Linked DNA regions of Lonchura striata. The protein of the gene in region 1 purifies or fractionates together with the protein of each later gene. This does not show direct contact. Links are inferred from orthologs where the notes say so. Each region holds a gene or a part of one and is shown on either strand. Other genes may lie near its edges.

Region 1 (9,606 bases):
GGGACTGAAGGTACTGTGTCCCCTTTGCTCCCCACCCCAGACTTGAAGCACCCACAACCAGACGGATGCTGCTCAGAAATCCTTTGTCTGTGATATGCTCTGCCCCTCCTCCAAGTGAAGCCTTCAAACAGTGCTCCCTGCAGTGCTTTTTGCTGGCTCTAAGTTCCTCAGCAAACCATCAAGCACCTTCTCACCCATTTCAACAGGCGTCTGAAGATATCAGCAGTTCATTGCATGAGACAGTTCAGGTCAATGCAATGCAAGATGTCTCTTCTCCCAACTTCCCTTCAGTTCACAAACTCACAGGCCCAAATCAGCATCCTGTACAAGCTTCATGCTTTTACTTCTCTTGAGGGAACTTCAGCACCAGGTCTGTCAGGACTTCACCATTGAGCTGTATCTTTCCCTCAAAGCCTGAGAGGACAGAGTGCATTCTAGAGAGACCAGAGATACAGCTTTGGACACAGACTGTGCTGACATAGTGGTGTGGGTATGTGTGTCTCTGAACTCCTGCTCCTTTCCTGTGAATCAGCTCAAATTCTCAGGGATCAAGTGACTCTTCAACTGCTGCCTTTGCCCCTTTTCCTCCAGACAGAGGAGGCACAGAAGACAAGGCAATGCCTTTTTGAGAAGCACAACCTTGCAGGGACCTACAGAGGGGTGCAGGAACACCTGCAAAGTGGGATCCAAAAGGTTGTAGGGATTTTTCTGGTATATTGTTTTGCATCTGCCTCTCTTCCTCACCCAGGAGCCTTTCTTACTTGCTTTCTCTTTACAGTCTCAACTTTTCCTGGTCCTCATGCTTAAAATAACCCCAATCCATAAAAAACATCTCCATGCTACACTGTTACTTCTATCCCTTGACTGCTCTCACTCACTGAAATAACCTGCCTCTGTCCCTTTTGGTATTGCTATAATTACTAGTTATTTTAGACTTCCAGGGTGAGGAGAAAGCATTCATGGTTTCTTCTCCATTCTCTCCCTCAGAGACAATTCACCTCCTTGGAATTAGATTTTCCATTTTGAAAATGGAAAAAAGCTTCTCTTAGATCCTAGATGGAGGCATAGTGGATTTCCCTTTTCAGAGGGGAATCTGAACTATGATGCTTTATCACTCTTTGAAAATTTTCCCACTGGTGTTTAAAAAAACCCACCACACAACAGAAACAAATACAAAAACCCCCAAACAAGCAAGTCTGTATTCTTCTTACTTGGGAAGAGACATCATGGTGCAAAAACAGGAGAGGCAACTTTTGTGACTAAATCTCAGAACTGTGAGTAAGAAACTAGAAAACCTACTCCTCTGCAACTGACTCACTCTGTGACAGATCACTGAGATTATCTGAGCATTGCTTTCCTAGTCAGCAAAATAAATGGGTCTTACTAGATTAACATTAATGAAGGAATTTGAGAACGTTACTGCAGTGGCCACAGAGGACTTTTTTTTCCCTTAGCCTTCATCTAAAGCTATTTTAGACTTCATAAGCTGTATCAAGCATACATGACTTTGCCCAAATAATTTACAAGGGCACAGCATTATCTTTCTGCAGACAGCCCAGGGCAATAGCACTGTGCAGGTTTTGTGATCAGGCTCATGGGTTGGACACGCAGCTGCCACAGACCTACCAAACGAGTTTGGGGGAGCCATGTTTGCATCCCAAATTAAGCAGGGAAGATAGCATTTATCCACATCCCCAGGATGTTGATAGGCAATGTTCAAAAGGAGAAAATAGTAATATTTTCAATCAACACCCCTTTCAAGTCCTCCACAGGCTTCCTTTCTCATACACTGTAATTCCTCCACCTCTTTGAACTCCCATAACCCAAATCAACCCCCAGTCAGTAAGATCTCCCTAGTATCACACTTCTGCTTCTCAGCTCCTCTCAGACAACACTTTTGAAATATCTTTTCTTTTTTCCTCTTCTTTGCTGCTTGGTTTGTTGCTTGGGAATTCCTTATTTAATTGAAACAAAGCCTAAAGGTATAACCCACTTACAATCTGGTTGCTAAACTGACCAAAAGATCTGTGAGGCAACATTCAGATTGCCTCTACCCAAACACAAGGACATATCTGATACACTCACTGAGGGAACAAAAAGCATTCATTCAGGAAAGGGCAGGAGATGGTTTCTCCTGGAATGTCTGATGAAACACGTGATGTTCTTCTGAGGGTATGTTGAAGATTATCTGGAGGATTTTGATAACAGTTTTCCCTGATGATCCTTCCACTGCCTGGCTGTAATGCATCTCACCTATCAGTCCCAACAGCAGAGTGGCACATCACAATACCCCTGACACACTTTGGGACAGTGTTAGGGTAGGTTCTAAAATCATTATAATAAAAGCATGACTTAAAGCAGCTGCTTACACTCTTTCCATCCCTGGCACAGCCTCCTCTTCACCTATGCAAGGACACCAAAAAGACTGAATGTGGGACCAGATGTTCACAGCAAATAGCAAAGGTCTGACAAGCAATGATCAGCAAGAATGAGCAACTGCATAAACGTACAAGTGGAGAGTTTAAATGGGCATCAGCCTTCAAGCATAACTTCAAGGCCCCCAGGCAACACAACATGAGAACAGAGAGTCTTCATTCTAAGCATTTTATGAACTGCAGCCCTGTTCTGACACTAGTGCAGCTGTTGACGGTCTTCTTCTCTCTAAGTGCGGCATCTTTGCTCTCCTTTCTCAGGCCACCTCCTTCTCCCACGTTCCCCAAACTGCCCTGAGCACAGGGACTGCAGGACACCAAGTGCCCGTGGGCCTGCCAGGACACAGGGCGGGTGCTGTTCATTGCCCGAGCTGGTGCTCCATGCTGTGAGCCAGCTCGTGCTGCAGGAGCCAGGGCATGGCCCTGCCAGGCACCGCTTGTCCCACAGCTCGGGGCGGGCAAACACTCCCAGCTGCCCAGCGCTTGAGTCCTTCGGGCAGGGGACACTGCTCTGACTGGGCAAGCTGCATACCCCAGGGCAGCCCAGCCTGAGGCTGCTGTCCCGCAGCCCCGCTGTCCCCGCAGCCCTCACTGACCCTGTCCCTCAGGCCCGCTGTCCCCTCAGCCCCGCTGTCCCCTCAGCCCCGCTGTCCCCTCAGCCCCGCTGTCCCCGCAGCCCTCACTGACTCCGTCCCTCAGCCCCGCTGTCCCCTCAGCCCCGCTGTCCCCTCAGCCCCGCTGTCCCTGCAGCCCTCACTGACCCCGTCCCTCAGCCCCGCTGTCCCCGCAGCCCTCACTGACCCCGTCCCTCAGCCCCGCTGTCCCCTCAGCCCCGCTGTCCCCTCAGCCCCGCTGTCCCCTCAGCCCCGCTGTCCCCGCAGCCCTCACTGACCCCGTCCCTCAGCCCCGCTGTCCCCGCAGCCCCGCTGTCCCCGCAGCCCCGCTGTCCCCGCAGCCCTCACTGACTCCGTCCCTCAGCCCCGCTGTCCCCTCAGCCCCGCTGTCCCCGCAGCCCTCACTGACCCCGTCCCTCAGCCCCGGGGTCTCGCGGCGCCCCTCGCGCCGCCGCGGGTCACGCGCCCCGTTCCCGCCCGGACGCGATAGGCTGCCCTGGCTGGAGCCCAGCCAATCAGCAGCACCCCGAAGCCCCCGGAGAGGCGCGTGCGGGAATGGCTCCAAGCCAATCGCGGGGCTCGGCGGTGCCGGGGGGGCGTGGCGCGGACCACCGGCCCGCGGCCCCTTTAAGCGCGCAAACTTCACCCCGCCACCCCCGAGACCCCCTCGCGCCCGGATTGGCTGGCGGGGCCCCCGCCGGAGCCGCCTCGGGCTGCGCGCCCGCTATTGGTCGGCAGCACCCGTCAGTCAGAGCAGAGCTCTCCTCTGATTGGCCAGCGCGCCGCTGGTCCCGCCGCGGAGGCGGGGGCCGGCGTTTCCCCGAGGAAGGGTCCGGCGGACGCCCCCGGGAGCGCGGGCCCGGACGGGCGAGCGGGGGCGCGGGGAGGGTCGGGGGGCGCGGGTGCGGCTCTCACCGATGCGCTGCCCCACGGGGGAGCTGAAGGGGTTCCCCAGCAGAAAGTCCATCGCCGCCGCCGCGCCGCGATCAGCTGACGCTGCCGCCGCCGCCGCTCACGTGACCCGCGCCGGCCGGGGCGGGCCCGCCGGGCCCCGCCGTGACGCCAGCGGCCGCCGCCCGGACCGGCCCCGCCGTGCCGCGGGCGGAGAGGCGTGCCGCGGCTGCCGGGCAGGGCGGTGTGTGCAGGCCGACGGGTCCCCGGTCCTGCTGGCCCGCAGCCCCGGCCGCAGGAACCGAGGGGCTCCCGCCGCCGAGAGCCTCCGCCGCTTTCTGCAGCCACGCCGAGCTCGTCCACAGCACCCGCGAGCCTGAGCGATGCCAAAGCCCTGGAAAGCCCGTGGGGATGAGTTTTTCGTTTTCCATAGCCCAGTGGGAGTAGGAAGGACTCCCGACACTCCCGGTACGACTTAGGAAAAAATTCTTTACTGTGAGGGTGGTGAGGCACTGGGACAGATTGCCGAGTTGTGGATGTACCATCCTTAGAAGTCTTCCAGGCCAGGTTGGATGGGGCTTTGCGCAAATTTTTTGTGGAAGGTGTCTCTATGGCAGGGGTGTTGGAAATGATCTAAGGTCCCTTCCAACCCAAACTATCCCGTGACTCTACACAGGGTGGTTGGCACGTTCTGGGATGTGCTCCTGGCCTAAGCAATTGCCCTGCCCAAGCTGAGGCTGCAATCAGCCAACACCCATACCTGGAAAATGGGGACGTGTTAATAACCAGCACAAATCTCGCTCTAACGCTGCCACGCCTGACTTCCTGCATCACACACTCGAGTCCCGTGTACTGGTGTCACCTGAATGCCATGAGGCTGAACTGAGGTGAGGCGGCAGGGAAGACAAATGCCCTGGTGTTACCTGCAGTGCTCCATGCTACATCTCCCTTCTGGGGGGTCCCAAGCAGTCAGGAACCCGAGCGATAATTTGGGTGACTGGTGCTGCTGGAAACAGCTTGCCTGCCAAGTGAGTGAGTTTAGGAGGGTTAGGATTGGATGTGTTTTGCTGAGAAACACCAAGTAGTAACAACAGTTGCAGAAAACAGCACATGCCAGAAATAAACAACAGTACTCCAGAAGTTTAAAAAAAATTATATTGTAAGTACAGTACAAAAAAGTCTGTGTATAATTGTAATGTAATCTGGACCAAACAGCAAAGAAATAACAAAAATATAAAAACTGCTAAGTCTTGACAAAGTTTCCCTACAGTACCAAATACCACAAGATACAGATTATACAAAGTGTACAAATTTTAATAAAAATACAATTCACCAGGTCCTGTGTGTTTTTCACTCTTCAAGAGTTTTCAGTTGTACAGAGGACAAAGCTGAAGTTGATCCTCTTCTGTTTCTTCAAAAGCAGATCTACCTCTTCACCAAAATGCTCTCAACTCTGAAGGGCTGGAAAGAGCTGGTTATTTTGTGCTGCTCACAACAGCAGATGCTTTAGTTTAGGCCAGGATCTGAAGCAGGATTGGACTGCCTCCCTCCTGGGCCCTTCCTGCTTCCAGGCCCATTGGGATTTGTCCTAAGCTGTTAAAATGGGTTCTGGCCTGGTGGTCTGAGAACCTTCCGTGCCTCCTCTGCTGAGAAAACCCCTCACTGCACTGAGAAAAGATCTGTAAGAGACAGACTACCTTATACAGGCACATCTGGGCAATACGTGGCAAAGAGGCATAGAGAGAAGAACCCTCCACACCCCAGGATTTAATTTACTTCTGATTTGGGGCTCAGCCACAGTGAGGGACAGCTCACTTTCAACTGTCCTAAGAAACAGAAGCTAGATTTACTTGGAAGTAAAAAATGCCTCTTCTTTTATTTCAAAACTTTCCTGTTACAGAGGTGATAAGGCCTGAGTCAAATAATATTTCAGTTGTTCTGCCCACCTTCACAAGATAGCATGTTTCTACAAACTCTTAGAATCTTCCTGGTGCTTCTTTACACAATGCCCATGCTTACTACTATACATAGAGTTGATTCCTGCAGGAAGTGTGCTGAGAAAAAACTTGATTCACATTTTTCACGCACTGTTGGCTGAGGGAGGAATTTTTGCTTTTAAATTATGTATATATATATAAATATATACACACACACACAGAGAAATATACAGGATAAATTAAAATCTGTTACAGATATTGGTAAAAGTTAAATACATGTGATATGAACACCACATACACATACATACACACAGACAAAAGCCTAAACAGGAATCAAGTGTTCTCCTGCTGCTCCTCTTCCAGAGGAGCAGAAAACCAAACTCCAGGTATGTGGCTGGAAAGAAGAGAAACCAGTCCAATCAACCCACATGTGCCTTACTTGGCCGTTACTGCTTCAAACTGGCCACTGGTCACTGCCTTGAAGCAGCACCACAGTTCCTGCAATAGTGCTGGTGAGAGAGATGGGGGATGAGCCATTTCACAAAACAGGTGCAAGATGGGCAGAAGCAATCCAAGTTTTTCCCATCTGCTTCTCTACTCCTTTCCATCAAAGTACGCTAATCACGCCATGGAAAAATCAGCAGGAGGTTCATTTTCTCAAGCCAATGCAATGGGTTGATACATTGTGCTAATGATGATTTGAGTATGAGTCCATAAGAAAAAAATAAACTTCTTGTCATCTACTTCACTTCAAATACCAGATACCAGACCAGCCAGCTGATAATGTCAACTTTCAGTTATTACTGTCTGAGGAGTAGGGGTTGGAGAAAGCGACCAAGAGGCAAAAAGCTATCCAGCTTTCCCCTCTATAAGTGTGTTTTAAACAGAAAGAGTTACAAATAGGGCTGGTGAAGAATTCAGTTCTATTCCCTGGTCCAAAATGTATCATCTCTCCCTGCCCACAGAGTATCAGAATACTTTTGTTTTAGCAGGGATATCAGGAGATCATCTGGTCCATCTCCCTTCTTAAAGCAAGTCCAACAAGAGCAGGCTGCTCGTTCAGTTTTTGAATATTTTCAAGGAAGGCAAGTCAAGAACCTCTCTGGGCCACCTGTTTCAGTGACCCCTCTCATGGTGACTTTCCTTCTTGTTTATATCGGGAAGTCCATTCTCTGATTGTTTCCCCCACTAAATCTGAATTTAAGGCAAATATCTCAAAAGCTTGCTGAATTCTTCATACAAAATACTTTCAGATTGGAGGACATTTCACCCACCAACACAAAAGGGTTTTTTCAGCTTAACTTCACAACTTTTTATAAAACAGAAGTCAAATAGTTACAATCCTATGTATATACTGTACATATATAAACTTTAAAAGCCTCCACATGGAGCCCTTCGGGAGCGCTGGCATAGTGCACATACACAAGTCAGTTACGCAGAGGTTGAGTACATCCCAGGATCCTTTCCCATCAAAGTCCAGGCATGATGTAGGCAATGTTGTCTAGTGTGTTTGACTAGGAAAAGAAATTTGGTGTTTTTTTAGCATCAGGTAATAACTCGAAATCCTTAAAAAATGGCATAGGTGAGGGTACTAAGCAGTTACAAGTTGAGTTACAAGTTATCATAGGATGAGATAACCAAAGCTGCCTACTGATCACCTTTAATAGGGTGTCAGATGGCAAAAAGAAGTGCCCTTCAGTTTTTCTTGGAAAATGTAACAGAATTCTGAGAATCCTTCTCATGCCCATCAGAAAAAAAGACCCAGCTGTATGTTTTTCAGATGCAGTGTTTCAGTAAGATCAAGCCCGTGGCTAGATAGCTGAGGAGGCCTTAGGAGGAGCACCTTTAACTGAGAGATGGAGGAGGTGGAGCTGCACCAGTTGTGATTTTAGAATTTACAATGCCACCTACTGTCTCAAATATAAATTGCAGCACAACTGCTGGGGTTTATCGTGTCTCAGAACACCACTGTCATTATGTATCTGACTGTGAAAATCAGATTATCAGCTCTTGAACAGGGTTTCCAGAAGTGAAGCGTAACTGCCATAATTCACCTAAAGCTCTGTTTCTCCTTATAACAATAACTTGATCGAGTTTCTAATAAACACACCACTGGTCATGTGGTAACTGCTCTGAATAAACTTGGCAAGCAGGAAGGAAAAAAAGCATCAGTTTTTCCATGGCTTAAGATCGGAACACCCCACTGACTCAGCTTTTGTGCACAGAGCCAGTTTGTGGGTGTTCACAGACTAAACTGTCAACTTTGTTCCTGTTGTTGATAGTCCATTCTTGTAATGAATAAACGTTTGGGCTGCCCTATTATGATATGTCAATTCATATCTCATTTTTGTTGCCCCCTCTGCTGGATATGTTTTTAGTCTCTTAACTTTTGCAGACTGTATTTTTTAATTTTTGCTCCTCTCCTTTGCTGCTTTATTCACGTCTCCTGTAGGAAGTGTGACTCATGATGGCTGCTGCCATCTTAATCTATGTTCACATCAGGCTACACAGATGTCATGAGCTGTTGCTAAATCAGGGCTCAATATGAAGAGTAGCTTAAAGAAGAAAAGAAACTGTAGTTATGCAGCTCCTTAAGACAGAGATTATTTTTCTTTGCTCAGAGAAGGTTTCAGCCACTTGTAAAAGGTCCTACACCATCACATTAGGAATCCTGAGATCACAAGCTGTTTTTTAAGCTAATGAAGGAAAAACAGCTTGTGTGATAAAGAGCAGCTAGAAGGTGGGCTTTATTTTATGGAAAATTAGAACTTTTGAAAATACTGGTTTACTTTTATTTGAGTCACATTGATTGACTCCATCATGACTAAAACAGGACCTACCCGCACTGCAATGAATGCTACAAATATTAGGTCAGTTGCCAGTGGGAGAAAGAAAGGTTGCACAATATTGTACAACGGTAATATCTGTAAGAATTTCAATAAACATTCCTCCGTAAAAGCCCATGACCAAGACAAATTCTCTTATTGCATTGGAATTATAATTATATTACACTGATTAATCAAAAAAAGCTCTATTTGGACTTTACTGAAATTCACAGTGCTAGAAAGAAAGTAACCACAAAGAACTCACCAAAACATGCTTTGGGCAGCCATTCAACTCAGGCAATTGTGTGGTCAGACATGCCAACGGGCCCAAAGCACAGATGATTGAATCTAGGAGTACTGACAAACTTCCAGAAACAGCCACCATTCCCTGGCAGTGACGGAGGAAAAAAATTGGAAAGGGATGAGTAGTGGAAATTGAGCTTCTTTCTCAACTGTATCCACTCTCAAGCAGATACTGTATCTTCAGCCCTCCAGTCCACTTCCACTATTTACACAGTAACAGAACTGTGCCTTGTGCTTCAAAAGACTGCTGGCTCAAAAAATTTAGAGTTCAAGAGGCAATGAACTGGTGCAAGATAAAAGCAGGAATCAACAGAAAACACCAGGAAGTTGTCAGTTGCATAAAACACTGATTCTACAAATTTTTGTAATATATTTTCTGTGCCATTTTGTACCATCTATTTTGTTAACTATGTGAGTCCTAATGACAATAACTTTTATTTTTGAAGTTAAAGAAATGCTAAGCCTCTAACAGATGTTTTAGTCATTTATATACTTTCTGTAAAGCGAGTTTTTCTGTGTGTTTTTCTGGGCCTTGGTTATTCCTCTTAGGATGTCAAATCAGTCATACCAAAACCAAAATGCAAGAACATTTATTTCACTGTTG
Region 2 (10,027 bases), on another chromosome or scaffold:
GCGTAATGCTGGTTTGTGTCCTCTGTAGGTATTTATTATACAACCTCACCAGATATCAAAAACAACAGAACCTTATAAAAAGCAAAAACCTTCCCCATTTGAAAAAAATACAGACGGGAGGCCAGTAATTATTTCATCTACCTTTGTCTTTTACTTAAAAAGGCCTAGAGAATATTCACAGTGTTGCACACTTGAGTCACACAACAACTTCTCATTTAAGCATAAGGGCATTATTAGACAACAACACTATTTTTAGCTTATAATGCTAATTAGAAGGGTGCATTGATGCTGTACAGCATTGGCCCACTAAACTCTCCAGAAAAAGGAAGAACTCAATGAAAAGAACTGTAGAACTAAAACCATATGCCAATATTTACATCTATTTAATACAGATCAGCTCACTTCTACAGAGAGCTCAACAAACTATCATACCTCAGTCTACCAACCCAGCAATGTTGCTTTGTTTAGTTAAATCTATTTTTTAAATAAAATGGTTATTTGATTTCGTAAAGTACTAACCTAACGTTGAAAAACTAGCATGTGTATTTTTCTTAATTTCATTACTCTCCTCAAACTTTTCATAGGTTTTTCATCTTTCTACAATAGACCTACAAGCAAAAAAATCTGAAACCCACAACAAAATCAAAACCCCCAAAACAGGGCAGAGCAGCAGTACCCCCCTGTCCCAACTTTGGTGTCTGCATCACCAAAAAATTGTAAAAGCCTTCTAGTTTCTCATGTTTCAAATCCTCTTTCAGCAAGAGGAACAAGTTTTATTTTCTGCTGCCTGGATTTGCCTGCAGCCTGTCGCAGTGTTTACATTATTGGATTAGAAGCTATGAAAAAGCTCTGGTGACACATTTTTATTAAATGGCTGCTTGCTTCCCTGAGTGGAGGGTCTGGAGGAACCATGTGCTTTAGCGAAATGCATTTGCTCTGAGCATATTCCTTTAAGGCTTATACTTGTAACGGAAGAATTACACTGCATTCTAACTATCAGAAACCAGGAGCACCACCTCTGTATACGTTTTTTAGCCAGGCACAGTTGTGTTTTCTGAATTTGTCTTTTAGAGCTCTGAATACAGTCACTAGACACACTCTAAACTGGCTCACAGATTAGTATTCTTTAAAAATAAACATATGCTTATAACTTTATCTGAGGCAATAAGTCCCTAATAGTGCAAGGAGACATAAAATTTTAGGCTCTCACCACTCCATTTCATAGTTCAAAAAAACTTTAAAATTATATTTAAATCACTGTTTATTAAAGACCATATGCTTTCAGATAAAGATAGATTAAATATTTACGTAGGAGGAGACTTGAAGGTAAAATAGCAGTCTGCTTCAAAATGGGAAAATAATCATCTAAGCACAAAAGGTACTACAAAAAAGTGCACACTGGACATGTCACTTCTCCAGATAAACCTCGAAACAGGCTCATCTTAGATCTCCAACAAATGGTCTGACACACTCCCAGCACAGCACCACACAGACCTAAGAGACAGAGGCAATAGTTCCACCTCATTAAAACTGTTAACTATTAACTGTGGAATGCAAATCCTGAGATCTCGATGACTGCAAGCGTGACAGGGTGCTCAAAAATGTGTCACAGACCTCAACACTTCCTTAAAATCCTTCATAAATCACTTATCCCTTCTAACCGAACAGGCACACACATTCTAGAGTCCAAAACCAACATGCACTGGGGATTTCTCTGCACACTCTTAGTTCAAGGAGGAGATAACACGAGGCTGCTGGGGGTGGCCAACTTACAGGATGGATTGCAGGGCTTTTTCCCAGATACACTCTGTAAAAGGAGGCACTTCACAGCTCTCAGTGGTGGTAACTTGCAAAACAGAATGGATAGGTTAATTATTACCAACCAACCCATTGCAGGTCTGAAGACAAGCTACCTTTTGATGTCTGAGAACACCTGAAAACCACTCTCTAGTGTTCACACATATGGGCACCACCACACCCACAGTTTGCTGCAGCTAATCCCCATTGCAGAGGCCAGGCCTGCTTCTACACAAAACATACCAGAAGAGCCCAAGCTGGGCTTTAGAGGCAAAGGAACACACAAGCAGGGGCACAGGGGTCTCCCCTCCAGAGAGGTGACCACAGGATGGCCACCACCTCAGTTCTGACTACCACAGCTGCAGTCCCTTGGCTCGCTGGCTATGTCCAGCTCCACCACAGTGTTTAATTATTATGCTTAGCCTGAGCAGAAAGCTGAGCTAAGGACTGTGGAAGCATGGAAATGGCATTTTCCACCTTACCACCCCAGCAACCACCGCAGGCAGAACAAAATCTCCAATATAAACATGGGCACTAAGCACCAAGCTCACAGTGAAACACTCATGGACTGCTGTGTGCCCCCTCTCCCTCACTGGTGTTGCACATGGGTGTTGCCATGATGATTTTTGTCTTTTCTTTTTATATACCTTTTATGAGGTCTCAGTATCCTTAATATAACTGTAATTCCTTAAGCCTAATACCTTAACATAATCCTGGTATTCTATTAAGCCAAAAGACCAAACTTCTAAAAGCCTCACAGTCAGAAGCCAGAAAACCTAACATTATCTTGAGAAACCCCTCCAAAACACTTGTTACGCCCATCTAAGAAAAAATACATTAAAATAATCACACTATTTATTTAAACCTCTCATTGAAATGTCTTTGTTAAATATACTAGTTTACAAAACCTATAAAACTGTATACACCATCTACCATATGTATGCATTTTGGTACATGCAAATTTTACAGTTTGCATTTTGGTACAGCCCAATGTGACAAATTGTTACACCATAAAAATCCTAATTAAATACCAAAATAAAAACCTTTTTATCCCTTACCCATGTCTAACAATTCTAAGACCAAGGAAAAAGCATCAAGGGTACTGAAGGAATTCATTACCAGCTTTTTCCTTCTCAGCCCCCTCCCTAACACCCATGAACCCACACACAGGCCTGAAGCCCTAATGACAAAAAGTTTTAGGGAACAGCTGACCACAGAGCCCATCAGCAATCAACCTGATGAAGTTCAGCACAACTGCACAAACAGTGTGTGAAAAATTTAAATAAAAACAAGAATGATTCTTGCTGAGCAGAACAACTTACTGTGTAAACCAAAAGCTGAGGTGGCTGCTGCCACAGCAGGTTTAGGAGCTGAACCATGGGGTGAACCAAAAGCTGTTGAAGTTTTCAGATATATAAGGACAAGCTTACAGGATAGAGCACAACAAGCTGTCTTGTCTGAGGAATGCTATTCTGTGAGTGAAACATGGACTCTTCAGAAGGGCAGAACTCCACCAGCAGCGTGATGACATTACACCCGCACAGCTCCATCCCACATCGCCTTCAGCTTCTGAGGATTTCTGTTCATTCATCCACCCTGCTCCTCTGAGCTGGGAGCAGCACTGCTCACAGCACCCAGAGAATCGCGGACTGCCTCAATTACTGCAGCGCTGGAAGGCTCCTCTGGAGCTGCTCCCCTGGGCAGGGGCTCGGGGACGTGTCCAGCTGGGCTGGGATGTCCCACACAGGGACCCCGCAGCCCTCCCTGGCACTGTCCCAGGGAGCCTGGGAGGGGTGGGACGGACGGACGGGATCCCCCCTCGGCTCCCTGCTCCAGCCCGCCCGGGCCGAGCCCGGCACAGAGATGCTGCAGAGCCCGAATCCTCCCTGTGCCTCCCTGGGCCCCTCCAGCAGATTGTTCTCTTTCTCCTGCTGTGAGCCAGCCTGGAGGCGGCACTGGGAGGCAGAGCGGCCCTGACTCGCAGCAGGCAGGGGCTGTCATGCGGGCACAGAAAGCTCTGCAGAAGGGACCGCGGCAGGCAGGGGAGCGCTGCTCGCTCCGCACCCCATTCCCCGCGGTCTGCGTTATTCACCAGCCCGGCTTCGCCTCTCGCCACCCGGCACCGGCAGCACCGGCGCTGGCGGCCGGCTGGACCCTCTGCCGCACTGCCCACAGGCTGCCAGTGACCGGTTCTGCTCGGATTTAAACACAGACTCAAAGTGCTTTACACTCTCTAAGTGTGCGGTGCACCACTGTCCGCTCTATGTGCCATATATGTATTCTGCACAACCTGCCAAATAACCTCGTCTACTTTACTTTATACACCACATACACTCTCCACATACCCCACACAGCGCTCTCTGTACATATCCCATGCTCGATACGCCGTATATAGAAACAAGCGGAACCGCAGCAAGCAACACCACCACCAACACGCAGAAACCTCCGGGGGCGAACCACCCACCCAGGTGCCCTCAGGCAGAGGTCAGACTCGCACAGCCGCGTCGCCCCGACCTCACCCGGCGGGCTCGGGGCCGTCTCGGGGCCGAATCCCCTCAGGGCCCGCCCCGCTCCCAGTCCCGCTCCCAGTCCCGGCCCCGCCGGCGGCTCCGGGCGGCGGCCTCGGCCCTCGTCTGCGCGCAACGCGCCTGCGCGGCCGCGCCCGCCCCACCCCGCGCCTGCGCGGCCCCGCCCGCGCCTGCGCGCCCCGCCACGGCCCCAAGGAAGGGGCGGGGCCAAACGCCAGACGGACAGCGTGAGGGGGCGTGGTATTGCTACATGGGCGTGGTCGCGTCCGTGATTGACAGTGCATGAGGGCGGATCGCCGACTGGCCTGACCCCCACCGGGGCGGGGCCTGGGGGAAAGGGGCGGGGCCTCTCGTGTAGGTCACGCCCCCCACCTTGTCCCGTAACCCCCGCCAGGGGGCGCCGCTCCCGCCTGGGTCTCGTGGCGTCAGACCCTCCGCGCCGCGGTGACGTCACTGCCGCGCCATCAGCCCTGCTCCCTGCCCGTTCCAGTGACGTCACAACTCCTACCGTGACGTCACACCCTCCACAGTGACATCACTGAAGCGCCATCAGCCCCACCCAGGCCCTGCTCCCTGCCTGTTCTGGTGACATCACACTCCCCACAGTGATGTCACACCCTCCACAGTGATGTCACATCGCCTACAGAGATGTCACACACCCACAGTGATGTCACACCCTCCACAGTGATGTCACATCGCCTACAGAGATGTCACACCCCCACAGTGATGTCACACCCTCCACAGTGATGTCACATCCCCTACAGTGATGTCACACCCCCACAGTGATGTCACACTCCCCACAGTGATGTCACACCCTCCACAGTGATGTCACACCCCCACAGTGATGTCACACCCTCCACAGTGATGTCACACCCCCAACAGTGATGTCACACCCCCACAGTGATGTCACACTCCCCACAGTGATGTCACACCCTCCACAGTGATGTCACATCCCCTACAGTGATGTCACACCCCCACAGTGATGTCACACCCCCTACAGAGATGTCACACACCCACAGTGATATCACACTCCCCACAGTGATGTCACACCCCCAACAGTGATGTCACACCCTCCACAGTGATGTCACTGCAGTGCCACCAGCCCCACCCAGGCCCTGCTCATTCCGGTGACATCACACCCTCCACAGCAAGACGTCACTGGCACCAGCCCTGCCTGTGCAGACCTGTCTGTCCTTGTTCTGGTGACATCACGCCCCTGCAGTGACATCAGACCCCTGCAGTGACATCATACCATTGCAGTGATGTCACCCCATGCAGTGACGTCACCGCCACTCCCTCAGGGACTGCCAGCGCAGCCCACACATGCTCCCAGTGGTGCCGCTGAAACAGCCACTCCCGCCCCTGTGCCCACGCTGCGCCATCATCCCCGCAGTGACACCACCACAGCACACACAGCTCCCGGTGTTTCCAGAACATTCTTTTCCACATGGCCGTGGCACCGTCCCTCAGCCGAGAGCCAGGACCATGGCCTCGGTGGCCTCGCAGCCACTCCTGGTGTTTCCAGAACGTTCTTTTCCACATGGCCGTGGCACCGTCCCTCAGCCGAGAGCCAGGACCATGGCCTCGGCGGCCCTGCGGCCGCTCCCGGTGTTTCCAGAACGTTCTTTTCCACATGGCCGTGGCACCGTCCCTCAGCCGAGAGCCAGGACCATGGCCTCGGCAGTCCCGCGGCTGCTCCCGGTATTTCCAGAACGTTCTTTTCCACATGGCCGTGGTGCCGTCCCTCAGCCGAGTGCGGAGAGCCGGGACCATGGCCTCGGCGGCCCCACAGCCACTCCCGGTGTTTCCAGAACGTTCTGTTCCACATGGCCATGGCGCCGTCCCTCAGCCGAGCGTGGAGGGCGTTTCCAGAACGTTCTTTTCCCCATGGCCGTGGCGCCGTCCCTCAGCCGAGCGCAGAGGGCCAGGACCGTGGCCTCGGCGGCCCCATGGCCACTCCTGGTGTTTCCAGAACATTCTTTTCCACGTGGCCATGGTGCCGTCCCTCAGCCGAGCGCAGAGGGCGTTTCCAGAACATTCTTTTCCACGTGGCCGTGGCGCCGTTCCTCAGCTGAGCGCGGAGGGCCAGGACCGTGGCCTCGGCGGCCCCATGGCCACTCCTGGTATTTCCAGAACATTCTTTTCCACGTGGCCGTGGCGCCGTTCCTCAGCGGAGCGCAGAGGGCCAGGACCGTGGCCTCGGCGGCCCCGCGGCCGCTCCCGCCCGAGCCGGGCGGGCAGGGCTGGGGGTCGCGAGCCAACGCCAGCCTGGCCCGGCCTGGCCGGGCTCCGCCGCCCGCGCCAGCATGTAGCTGACCTTGCGCTGGTGCGCCAGGGCCTCCTCCTTGTCGTTCACCTGCCAGCGGAGAGCAGAGCGCTCAGCGCCAGCGCGCCGCGGCCGCGCCGCGCCGCAGGGAGAGCCGTGCACTGACCAGGTCTATCAGCACCCGCAGCAGCTCCTGGGCGTCGTCCAGCTCCCGCACCCTCCTGCCGTCCCCGGCTGACCGCAGCAGGCCGGACAGCCGCCGGCCCAGGCTGGGCTCGCCGCCCTCTGCGGAAAACACAACCGCGTCAGCACAGCTGCTCCGGGAGGGGAAACCGCTTCAGGATAGAGCAGCACTGCTCAACTGGAGCTGAGCAGTCACAGAGAAAAGGGCAACACCAGACGCAGCTCGGCACGTCTCCCTGCTCCCGCTGCGCAGACCTCGCACGGGGGCAAATTGAGAATTTGCTCCGTGAAAAACACACTTTTCACGCTCTAGGTAAACAATCATTCACGGTAGTTCGTTTTTAAACACTAAGTAGCCTTAAAAACCCAAAGATTCTCTGACACTGGCAACCTACAAGTGTGTAAGATTTCCAGGAATGGTAAAATTCACAGCAGGTTGTTTTTAAACACTAAGTAGCCTTAAAAACCCAAAGATTCTCTGACACTGGCAACCTACAAGTGTGTAAGATTTCCAGGAATGGTAAAATTAATTTGTTTTTAAACACTAAGTAGCTGAAAAAAAACCCCAAAGATTCTCTGACACTGGCCACATAGAAGTCTGTAAGATTTCCAGGAATGGTAAAATACATTAAAATTACGGAACAGATGTGCCAGGTAATGGAGCCTGAAAGCAATGGGGCCAGTACAGGGGAAACAGACACTCAAGGTTGTGCTGTTGTAGAGCTACACCCCAGGAGTGCCCCAGGAATTTGGGAGACACATATCACACTTCTAAGCTCCTGCCAATGGTCAAAACAAATATATTGTGCCATTCCTAAAGCCTGCAGTGGTTCTGACCATGATGTAAGCACTCAAATACCTCTCATTATCCCTCTATTTTTTTTTTTAATAATAGAAGATTGTTAGAATTACTCCTACTTTACAGATTGGAAATCTTCCTCTTTTTACACAGGGCTTTGTAACTCTGCATTAGTGTAAGAACACTAATAAACAGAAATATCAATACACATGCATAATAAAAAGATAAAGGGGTTTAAGAAAAAAAAAACCACAACTGTTTAGTACTCCAGTGAATTATGGAGTGGCCTGGCTTGGAAGAGACCTTGAAGCTCATCTTGCTCCATACCTTCCACCAGACCAGGCTGCTCAAGCCCCACTTGGAGCTAAAAAAACCTCAAGCTATAAATTTTTTTTGCATTTCTTCGCCTTCCCCACCTCTTCTGCAGAACTAATTTGACAAAAAACAAAACCCAAAAGACAGAGCAGTTGCTGGCAGCCCTTAAACCAGCCCGGGCAGCAGCTGAGCCCCCAGCACGTGTCCAGACCAGCCAGCCCCAGGCACTGCCCAGCTACCAGCGCCCTGCCGCCGCCAGCTGCCAGATCTGGTTCCCTTCTTCACGCCGAGCGCCTCTGCCAGCCGCAGGGCCTGCTCCTGCCTCTGCCCCAGCTGCTGCTCAAACGCCGTCCGGAAGGCGTCCGCCACCAGATATGCCTCTTCCCTGCTCTTCTTCACATCCTCCACCTGGGGTTCAGTCAGGGGAAATTTAAAGCGCGTTAGCTGCTTTGGAAGCAAAACAGATTTGAAAGGAATATTAAGACGCAGACAGCTTGCAAGTAAATATAATCAAGGAAGCAGCAGGAACCAAAGGGTTTTCCTGGCATGTAAAGAAATGCATTTTGAAATGTGTATTGAAGTCCTTGCTCTTCATTGTCTGCACATGTTCACACCCCCAGCCACCTACACAATAATCTCTGAGTTTATTTATCTTTGCATATGTACAAGAGCTCAAGGAGAAAAATAATGTCTCCTCCAGCCAGGCCTGGAGAAAAAGGAGCAAGAGATTGCAATCCATATCAGGGATCATAAGGGACAGGCCAGCACCTATTTTCAAAACCGGCTGGTCAGCTGGAAGTTCTGCAGCAGGACCACAAGGATGGCTACCACATTTGCAGAGTCAAATACAGATTAGAAGAGAAATCCTAAATCTGCACAATTTCACTTAATAGAAAAAAAATAGGAGCCTGGAATTCACGTCACTGATTTAAGTGAGAGATAAATAGGTATTTCTAGCAAGATCAGCCTGCTGCCCTAGCTGAGTGAGCGGGCTGTGGGTGCTGATGCCAACGAGGGAGGGGTGGAAGGCACTGCCAGGAAGGAAGGGAAGGTTCAGTGCCAGTCCACGTGCACAGTGTGCACATTCATGGGGGACACACCCTTAGGGCATGTTCTCTTTTTTCATATAAAAAATACGGGGAGAAGGGAAAAGAATGCAATTTTCTTTTTTTTAACTAGTAAAGCTGAGTAGATATAATCACTTTTTTTTTTCTACCAGCAAAAATGATGGCATTACAAGCATCACAAACTTCACAGTATTTCTGAGATCCACTGTGGTTGTGAGAGTTTGTGAGAGCAGTGCCTGGGTGTTTTGGGCTTGGTTTGGACTGGTGCAGGAGCACCCCCTCCTTGTCCCCACCCTGCCAGCCTTGTCACCTGCTGCTTGAGATGAAGGAGTTGCTTCCGAGTGAGAGCTGCCACCTTGGCACAGGGACAGGGCTGCCCCTCAGCAGGGCTGCAGGTGCAGGCTCCGAGCACTGCCAGCTGAAAACCCAAAGCAAACCAGAGGCCAGGGTGAAAAATGCATATTTTATGATAGGCTCTTCGCAAATGTTAATACTATATTTTGTAATACTGTATTAATCATTTTTAAGTAGTGTGTTAAAGATAGTTTGAGGTTATAAAATAATGTTAAAACAGGAACTCTGTGATATAAGATATTTTTTAGTAGCTCAAGAAAAGGGATAAGATAATCAAGAAACTCTTCACAAAGAGATAACAGCAACACAAAACCTGAAGAGTTACAGCCTCCTTATCAGAAAAGACAAACATCCTTCCACCTTCTCTCTGTTATTGTGGAACCACCAGGATTAAGGGGAAGGAGTTGAAAAAAACCAGAAAAGTTCTTAATTTGCAAGGATTTTATGGATCATGTATGAGTCAACAGGCTGTTGCTTTTACGGTTATTCCTTTGCTCACAAGGCCTGGTTTTGGCAGCTCAGTGCCAAAAAACATCCGGATGTCCATATTCTTTGCTTTTTATTGTCTCCTAATGTCCTAATCTTTATTGTCCAAATTTTTATTACTCTCATTTTATTCTTAATAACTATTTTATGACTAATAAACTCCTAAGATTTTAAAAAACAAGCGATTGGTGTTTTTCACAGCCAGGATCTGCTCGCAGAGGTGCCAGTAAAA
Region 3 (9,407 bases), on another chromosome or scaffold:
GCCAGGACCCTGCAAAGCACCATGACAGGGCTGGGGAGGGCTCAGAGGCCATTTCCAAAGCTCCTTGCTATGGACTCTGCCAGAGATGCTGCAGAGGGGTGGGAAGGGGCAGGAGAGCAGGAGTCCAGGGAGCAGCCCTGCAGTGTGGGCAGCTCAGACCCCCAGCCCCCTTCCCGGTCACATCCTGTACTGGCTCTGCTTTGGCACAAGCCCTGATCCCACGGGCTGCCAGCAGGCAGGGTCACAGCAGGGCACACACCCAAAAAGCAGAAGTTTCCAAAGGGCCCTTTCACCTCTCTCCAGGGCGAGAAGGAAATCCCGGTTCCTCTGGAGCTCCTTCATGAACTCTTCGTTCTGCAGGAAGAGCGCGATGCGCTCGTCCTCCAGGTACTGCTTCCAGCGCCGCTCCTGCTCCAGGGAGCCCTGGCCCCGCGGGACCACGGGCTGCCGGCAGCCGCGCGCGCCCTGCGGAGGCAAACGGGCACCTCGGCTGCTGCTCCCGGCTCCCTGCAGCGGCACCTCGGGCTCAGCTCGGCCTTCTGCCCCTCTGCCACAGCCCTGCTCCCCAGCCCCGATGGCAGAGCTGCTCCCAGAGCGGTGCCTCCCTCCTCCGCCCAACAGCCCAGGGCAAAAGGGACAAAGGGGGACAGCCCAGCCCCTGGGAAGGGGGACAAACACCCACAAGGGAACCTTTGGGACAGACACCCACATGGGAACCTTTGGGACAGACACCCACGGGAGAACCTTTTGGACAGACATCCACATGGGAACCTTTGGGACAGACACCCATGTGGGAACCTTTGGGACAGACACCCACGGGAGAACCTTTTGGACAGACATCCACATGGGAACCTTTGGGACAGACACTCACGTGGGAACCTTTGGGACAAACACCCACGTGGTAACCTTTTGGACAGACATCCCACATGGGAACCTTTTGGACACACATCCCACGTGGGAACCTTTTGGACAGACATCCACATGGGAACCTTTGGGACAAACACCCACGTGGTAACCTTTTGGACAGACATCCCACATGGGAACCTTTGGGACACACATCCCACATGGGAACCTTTTGGACAGACATCCAACATGGGAACCCCAGCAGAGCACAGGCTGGCAGGGATGTTTAACTCCAAACCATGGGGTTGTGCCATAGCAGAGGTGTAAGAGGTGTGCAGGTACGAGAAGGGTCTCAGCATGTCTCCCATCTCCAAAGAGCAGAGTCTGCAGTGTCCTGCTGACAAACGTCCCTGCACGAGGCACTGTCACACCTCACACCTGGGGAGCAGCACAGCCGCATGCTGCGGCACAGCCTCATCCCTGCCTACAATATTTATCTGATTTGTAGCTGCTCCCAGAGAGCCATAAAAAGCAAAAGCACACAATTGCTGGGGAAAGAAAAGGGCAGCTGCTCCTCTCCTCCCCCTGAGCCCAAATGAATTGGCAGGCTCCTATTCCCAGAAAGGTAATAGAGCCCGTGAAGCTCAGCTGGAAGGGCAATCATTCATGCAAACGTGGCAGGCTGCCTTTGCAGACGAAACAGCAGCGAGGAGCAGGGTGCCTGCAGCCCCCCCAGCCCTCTCCATGCCAGGAGGGTGCTGGACCCATTTAGGGGTTCCTGTGATAGCAAAGGGCCAGAAGATGCCCCAAATTGTGTCTGGAGCTGAGCAGCATGCTCAGCATGTGTTGGGGCTGCTTGTTCTCCATGGGATGCTACCCACTGCCTGCCCTGCTGCTGGCACCCAAACTTTGTGGCTTAAAACAACCACGGAGCACACGTGGGCTCTGATTTCCCAGGGGCAAATCCTCTTGCTTGCACTAGGTGTCCTACCCAAATTCCACTGCAGCTGTCCTGAAGTGCTCTGGCAATGCTGCTCTCCTTAGGAGCATTACTGGTCCTGTGCTTCTCACCAGAGCAGTGGGAAACATTTTCAAATAATTGAAAATATTAGGTGCATATGGCAAGTGGCATTTCTGGCACTAATCACTGGGATAATGCAGGAAAAATATCAAAGCTTTGCTGAGAGCTCTTTCACACCTTGCCCACTTCAGTCTCTTGAACAGGAGACACTTCAAAACTTTTGGGTTAGTCCACACCTGGTACCCAGCGTGCTGATGCTGCAAGCTGAGGGTGCCTTAGGACTGGGATGGTGCCCATGCCACAGCACAGAGCAGGCTGGAAGGGGTGGCCAAGCCTCACCTGCGCGCGGGCCGGCTGCTGGGGCAGGATGCGCAGGAAGTCCTCGGGGAGGCTGCCCAGGAGCGGCGGGTTCCAGTTCCTGTAGTGCGCCGCGCTGCCGGGGCCGGGCACGTCCGTCCTGCGGGGCGAGCACAGGAGCACCTTTGGTGAGGAGAAAGCCCCCAGCGCTGCCACGGCAGCGTGGCACAGGGCCTGGCACAGCACAGCCTGCCCAGCTCCGCCAGCAGTGCTGGAAACCACAAAACCCCAGCACATCCCCGAGCCTGCAGCGTTAGCATCGGCTCTGAAGAGTGAAAGCTTTCCTAGAATGTTTGGAATATTTGGGAGCTGCATTTCAAGCCTTGCCCTGCAACTCTGCAGGCTGGGCTTTCCTTCTCCTCCGTGTTTCACTCAGACTCCCAAAAAGCAGCTTGGTGGAGCCCCAGCACTGCGGGGATTTGCCCACAAAGCTGACAAACGTCTCTCACCCAGTGTCACACGCAGCTGCACAGAGGGCAGGGGCTGGCACAGAGGTGCCCAGGGCTCAGACTTGCTGACCCACAGCTCCACAGCTCCAGCCAGAGCGGTGCTGCCAGGGGCCAAGGGAGAGCCAGCCGAGGTGTGTGGTGCGTGGGACCGGCTGCCCAGCACCTGGTGTTTTCCAGCAGCAGCAGCGAGCGCTGCCCGCCCCCGGAGCTGATTTTTGCCATTCCACAGCCGCCGGAGCGGCTTTCCGGCCCCTCAGCTGTTGGTGTTTTAGAGCCTCACAGGGATTTTTGAGCCAGCTGTGAGCTTCATTCATCTCCCTTGGCTTTGTCTCACTGGACCCTGTACGGAGCAGGGCCAGAGGGCCATGCCAGGGCTGGCTGATGGCAGCCTGGGCCCTGTGCTAGCACAGGGTGCCCCAGGAGCGGAGTGCGGGGCTGGGGCTCACCTGGGCGGGGGGGTGGGTGGGGCGCGGGGGTAGCGGCTGCCCAAAACCTGGCTCTCGTAGGCAGGAGGGGAGTACACGGGAGGGGGCTCCTCGTCCGAGCTGTCCGGCTCCAGGGTCCGCTCCAAGATCTGCAGGGTGAGAGGATGGGGTGAGGGCAGGACAGGAAATGCTGTCCCCAGTGGGCCAGAGCTCCACGGGCAGCAGCAAAACAGGGATGGCACAGGCTGAATGCTGCTGCAGATGATGGGGCAACCTGCTGGCACTGGGGGGTTTTGGTGGAGTTTGGAGGTATTGTTTTCAAGGGGAGATGGTGGCTGAGCCTATCCATGCTGCACACAGCCTTGGGGAGTCTCTCTGCCAGCAGCAGAAGGGTCTCTGTTGGGTTTTGGGGCAAGGGAGAGCAGGGAGAGCACTTGGATTGATCCTGAAGATCAATCAAGACAACCTTTGGTGCAGCAGCCCAGCCAATCCGGGTACTCAAACCTCTGCCTGCCTGCAGCAGTTGAATAGCACCGTGGCCAGGCAGGAGGAGGCAGGATGGGGCTGCTGTGCCCGCTCACGGTGACCCACACAGGGGAGCCCCAGGCAGGTTACCTCGGGCGGGATGCTGTCCTCCGAGTCCGAGCTGTCGTCACAGCCGCTGCCGTCCAGGTTCATCTGCAGAAGCTGGTCGATGGTGGCGTCCACGGCGCCGTTGTTGGCTCTCAAGACGCACTCGATGATGTCGTAGTCCATGTTGGGGAACATGGTCTTGAAGTCCTCCATGGCCTGGTTGAACTCCAGGCGCCGCACCTGCCTGGCGGGGCGGCTGTTGTTGAGCTCCTGGGCGGAGGAGCCGCCGCGGGAGCCGCCGCCGCTGCTGCTCCGGCGGAAGAGGCTCGTCATGGCGGGGCGGCTGCGGGGGCTCGGTGCCCGCGGTCCGGCTGTGCCCGTGCCCCTCCTCACCGGGGGCTGCCCCGGCTGCCAGCCGGGACCATGGGTGGGCGGCGGGGGTCCCGCTCCCCGCGGCCGGCGGCTCCGCGCGTCAGCCCCCGGCGCACGGCTGCATCCTCCCACCTGCGGAGGGGACACGGGACAGTCACCCAGGGACAGCACCCAGGGACGGCACCCAGGGACAGCACCCAGGGACAGTCAGCCAGGGACAGCACCCAGGGACAGTCACCCAGGGACAGCACCCAGGGACAGCACCCAGGGACAGCACCCAGGGACAGCACCCAGGGACAGTCAGCCAGGGACAGCACCCAGGGACAGCACCCAGGGACAGCACCCAGGGACAGCATCCAGAGACAGCACCCAGGGACAGCACCCAGAGGCTCTCCTGTCTCAGCAGAGGACATTTGGTTCCATCCCACCCATCCCACCGCATCCTCGTGGGACTGAGCCGTCCCTGCAGCAGGCCTGGCACGCCGGAGCCTGGATGTGCCATGCCAGGATCTGCACCAACAAAATGCAAGGCAAGAAAAATGGCATTGCTTCCACTGCTGAGGGCTGCCCAGATTTAACGTTTCCAGGTTTGACATGTATTTATAAATACAGTAAAATCACTCTTTAAAATAAAACATGGAGTCGGCTCAGAGAGTGTCAGAGGAGGGGGCTAAAATGCTCTGCAGCACGGCAAATCGACCTTTTGGAAAAGCTACCAAATCCAAGATTAACATTCACTTTAAAACCATAAACAGATTATACAGCTACTGCTTCTCGTTTGAAAATGCAGGGCCAAATTCAGTTCTGGATTAACTCCACTGTTTGAAACAGAATTACCTCAGGAACACTTTCGATCCATAATATCATTTTCAAGGGTTTTTTCCTAAGTGGCAGGCAGAGAGTTCAGGATAACTGTCCCTAAATGGTATTTAATGTAGAACGTGCCAAGCACATTTCTTAGCAAAATGGTATAATCAGATTCCAAGCCATTAAGAGGAGCAGTCACCTCTGAAGGTCACCTGGGCTCTCCCCTGCCCAGCAAGACCATGTGTGACAGCCATGTCCCCTCAGCCCCTGTGCCAGCCACAGCCCTGAGCTGCTCCAAGGAACTTCCAGAGGCTGCTAGAACCAAATACACTTGTAATACATGAGGAACTCAGCGGGAGCTCGGGGAGAAGTTCACTTTTTGCCCCACTGCTAATTTACCCCCACCTTCATCCCTAGGGACAGCACTGCTCTGACTTGGTACCAGAGGAATCACAGGGATGATTCCTGCTCCAGGCATGCTCTGCTCTCCTTCCCTGGCTTTTGTAATCCTGGAAACATTTGCATTTGGATGCACCAGTGCACGGTGCCAGGGCCATCCAGTGCCACCTTCCTGTGGCATTTTCTCCCAGGCAGGACAGGACCCAGGGAAAAGCTGCTGCAGAATCACTGTCAGGCACAAGGGGCCATTTCCAAACAGCACCAGCAGCCCCCAGCTCACTCCTGCTCACTGATAACACCCATCTAACTGGTCACTCAGGCAGGAACTGTCTCCATCCCAGTAAGTCTCAGTGCCCAGGACCAGCTTGCCAGGAGGCAGGCACGGAGCAGCGCTGTGCGAGCAGAGCAGGAACAATTCCGACAGCTCTGCCCGGCTCCATTCACTGAGGACAAATAAATCCACGGGAGTCAATTAATAAAACACTGCTGCTCGCTTCCTCCTCCGCTCCCCTGACACATTCCCAGTGAAGAGCCAGCATTGTTCACACCTCTGGAATTAGGCTTTAATTGCAATATTGCATGGCTGCTTTGGTCACGTATTAAATTGAGTTGTAACACATTCACAGGGTACACACCTCCTTACAAGATTTGGCTACTCCAAGAGGATGGGGAAGGAGCCTGGACACACATGAGAACACGGGTTATACTGGATACACACACACACATGATCCACAGATGGATATGAGAGCTTCTGAGGAGAACCAATGCTGTGCCAGCCCATAAACCTCAAACAGCAAAATAACCCCCAAAATCAGGCTGGGATTCTCCAGATCTCCATAAAGTAACCAAAGTACCTGGGCTGGGGAATCTTTGTCTCCCAGCATTTGACTTTTGAGTGTGTATTAAAAGACTTCCCTGTAACCTGGCTGTGCCAGGCACTGGCAATCCCCCTGCCAGCCCTTTGGGCTCCTGCTGCCAACACCAACTCAGGGGAGGTGTTAGTCAACACTGCAGAGTCTGGGACAGCTCCCTGCAAGGGCTGGACAGTGGCACTGAGCACAGCAACGTGCTGAGCCATGGAAATCTTCCGGTCAGAAGATGAACAAAATTAGGGATGGGGACAAGATATTTCACACCAGAAAGGCTCCACTGCACATCTGGCTTCAAACAGCCCCAAGGGAATGTGTTGGGACCTTCCCTGCCCTGAGATACACCCCAGGAATTCGGGGCTGGCAGACCAGGGCAGTTCACATGCCCCGAAGGCTTTTAAACCCATTTTTCAAAGTCCTGCTGCTAATCCAAAGAAATGCAAATCACTACATCAGCATGAGTTAAAATCCAGGGAAAAGCAGCAAGTGGCCCTGTTGGCAGGAGTTGTTTTGAAGACCAACAGGCAGCTGTACTCCAGATCCCCCCAGCTCCTGTGTGCCCGCAGCAGTGCTCAGGTGAGCAGCGGGGAGGGCAGCAGGACCCGGGGGGCAGCTGGGGAAGAGGCTGAACCTGTTCCTGGCCCTTATTTCTGTGATGTCAGTGAGGGGCTGGGAAGACGCCAGGAAAAGCAAAATCCGTTGGATTTCCCAAAAAGGAAAGAAGAAGTTGGCGTGTGCCTGCAGTCCATGCGTGGGCACAGGCACACTCGGGCACAGGCTGGGCCCCTCTGCTCTCTGCCCCTGTGCAGAACCAGGCTGGGGTGACTCCTTGGCTGCTGCCTCACCAACTTTTCTCCTGCCTGACAACAGCTCCCGCTCTGCTATCCGCAGAAGGACCCTGAATGCTGTTATTCATCCACCAAACCCAGGCACAGGCATAATCCTTCTCCCTTCTGCTGCGCCCATCACAGGAGGAGCTTAAAGGCTTTGCAAGCTCCTGGCCTGCGTGTCCCTGTCCCGCGGGTCACAGAGAGCAGGGATGCTGGCACTGCCCCTGTGCCACCACCAGCCCTGGCAGCACAGGGTAAATCCTCCTGTCCTGGCAGAGCCTGGTCCTGGCTCACCCCAGCTGAGCCACCTCAGCATCCCGCAGGGGTGGCTGTCCTGGCAGTGACCTGTGCCACGGAGAAAATTCCAGGTGACATCCCGTGCCAGGCTGGGGCCAGGCACGGAGGCAGCACTGGGGTAGGAAGGGCTGCCACAATGCCACAACCACACCAGCTTTTTCCCAAGTGCCTCCACATGCTGGGACAGGGCTGGCACTGAAAATGCTGTGTTTTGGTGTCAGTGCCAGGGTAGCACAGGACACTTCCATACCACTGCTGTCTCACTGCACACCTTTGGCTGCAGCCCCTGCCCTTGGCTCACCACACAAACCCATAAAATACAACCAAACACAAGCTGGCCTTGGGGGGCAGCTCCCCGCTGCCAGCCCAGGGGCTCACCCTGCTCTCCTGCCACCCGAGCTGCCAGTGACCCGCACAACTCGGAGCCACCCTTGGCAGAGCCAGGGACAAGAGCAGAACCAGGAGAGCTCAGTCAGGGATAATGCTCACAGCCCGGCAGAACATCCTCCTGTGCCCCTGGCATCCGCCTGGGTACGGCTGCTCTCACCCAGCCCAGCAGGCACTCGGCACCTCCCAAAAATGGCTCTTCCCCGGCCCGAGGGGAAGCTCTGGAGAGGCTGCCGGCCTCAGCTGCCCGGGAGAGCAGCTGGATAATCCCGGGGGTGGGTCAGGCCGGGGATGTGGCGCTGGAAGCAGCAGTTGCTCGGCTGGGCGCGGAGCTCAGCCCCGCCGGAGGAGCCAGCAGCTGGAAAATCCCCGGGACCGACGGCTCCAGCCCTCCCTGCTCGGGGAAGAGCCTTGGCACCGAGTGCAGACCAGAATATTCTCTTCCCCAGAGTCTGCTGTGGCTCAGACAGCAGATGGGATTGCTCAAACACTGCCCAGCCCCTTCTCCCCTGCTATTGCCACGCTGTGCTCACGGATCCCCCAAAAACGCGCCGGAGCCTGGACCCCCCTCTGCAGCCAGGACAGGGGTGACCCCACCGAGTGTGGGGTCCCCCAGCCCCGCACTCCCCAGCCCTCAGGGCACTCATCCCGTGGTGGCTGCAAGCCCAGGCCTGTGGTGCCTCAGCTGGGGATGCAGAACACACGTGCAGAAGCATTTCCACGCACAGGATTATTTGGAGAAAAGGGCTGACAGCTCCCCCAGTTCTTGGAGGGAAGACTCTTGGAAGAAGTCTCAAAACTCAAGGATGTTAAACTAGAAGGAATGGCTCTGTCCAGAGCAGATGTGCTGAGTTCTGCTGTAGCCAGGCCCCTGCAAGGGGATTGCTCAATGTGGGAACGAGAAGTCTGGGAATGTGACTGCTGAGCAGCTGCATATGTGATTATAATAGGACTGAAATTAGGATGAAAAGTATATGATCAGGAACAGAAATGATGCTATTCTCTAGCACCAAACATGCCAAGGATGTGCAGGATGGGGCCCTACCAGTCTCTCCTAAATCTCCTTGTTACCTTCCTCTCTGCCTCAGGGGATGCTGTGCACCCCTCCTGGGCCTACAGCCTGGGAAAACTGGTCCCAGCAAATCCTTTTTCATGGAAACAAATAAGCACCTGAGGATCTCCTTTAATACTTGTTCTACCAAGTATTAAAATGGCTGGGTTTAAGCCCTTTTCAAAAGCAAAAGCAATCAAGGAGGCAAGCACAAGTAAGCCCTGCTTGGGAACCTGTGCAGCACGTACCTCTCTGCAACAGGAAATTCCCCTCTTGGCTCCGAGGGCAAGTGCAGAGGAGCTGGGAGAGCCAGGGAGTGATCCCAATCCCAACACGTCAGCATTCCTGCCTAGGTGGTCTCACCGACAGCTTTTCTGGGGAGCCCTGGCCACTGCAGCACTCTGAACACTCAGGATCCTCCTTTGAGGGATGCAGCTGCAGCCTCGGGGCACCCACTGCTCTCCCACCACCCTCCTCCCGGACAGATTTATGGGAGCCCTTTGTGAGCCCACCAGATGTCGGCCGTGCACGGCACCCAGCTGGCTCTTAAACCAACACCACCCTCTAAAACCTGGGGGGACACTTGTGAGAGCCAGGCAGGGCTGCACCCACATTCCCCCCAGTGCCGGGATGCAGCAGGATCCTGCTGCTGGGTCCCCCAGCCCTTCTGGATCCTGCTGCTGGGTCCCCCAGCCCTTTGGGATCCTGCTGCTGGTGTCCCTAGCCC

The links.
Region 2: the proteins of TOM1 (region 1) and ZFYVE16 purify together in Homo sapiens (affinity purification with western blotting; 3 studies listed by BioGRID and IntAct, with this or other methods). This does not show direct contact. The link is inferred for Lonchura striata from reciprocal best matches to the Homo sapiens genes TOM1 and ZFYVE16.
Region 3: the proteins of TOM1 (region 1) and CUEDC1 purify together in Homo sapiens (co-immunoprecipitation; 3 studies listed by BioGRID and IntAct, with this or other methods). This does not show direct contact. The link is inferred for Lonchura striata from reciprocal best matches to the Homo sapiens genes TOM1 and CUEDC1.

The regions. Positions count from the first base shown.
Region 1 is NC_134607.1:22,433,473-22,443,078, reverse strand, and holds the start of TOM1 (target of Myb1 membrane trafficking protein), read right to left. Parts: upstream 4,088-9,606; 5' UTR 4,014-4,087; coding exon 3,962-4,013; intron 1-3,961. Other genes in the region: HMGXB4 (HMG domain-containing protein 4), read right to left, coding at 7,344-7,388, 8,965-9,087.
Region 2 is NC_134642.1:86,166,887-86,176,913, forward strand, and holds the start of ZFYVE16 (zinc finger FYVE domain-containing protein 16), read right to left. Parts: upstream 4,430-10,027; 5' UTR 4,317-4,429; exon of another isoform or gene 4,262-4,316; intron 3,196-4,261; exon of another isoform or gene 1,774-3,195; intron 1-1,773. Other genes in the region: CCDC125 (coiled-coil domain-containing protein 125), read right to left, coding at 6,232-6,491, 6,588-6,681, 6,758-6,876, 8,128-8,296, 9,266-9,373.
Region 3 is NC_134622.1:10,698,195-10,707,601, reverse strand, and holds the start of CUEDC1 (CUE domain-containing protein 1), read right to left. Parts: upstream 4,116-9,407; 5' UTR 4,002-4,115; coding exon 3,711-4,001; intron 3,245-3,710; coding exon 3,117-3,244; intron 2,322-3,116; coding exon 2,204-2,321; intron 466-2,203; coding exon 294-465; intron 1-293.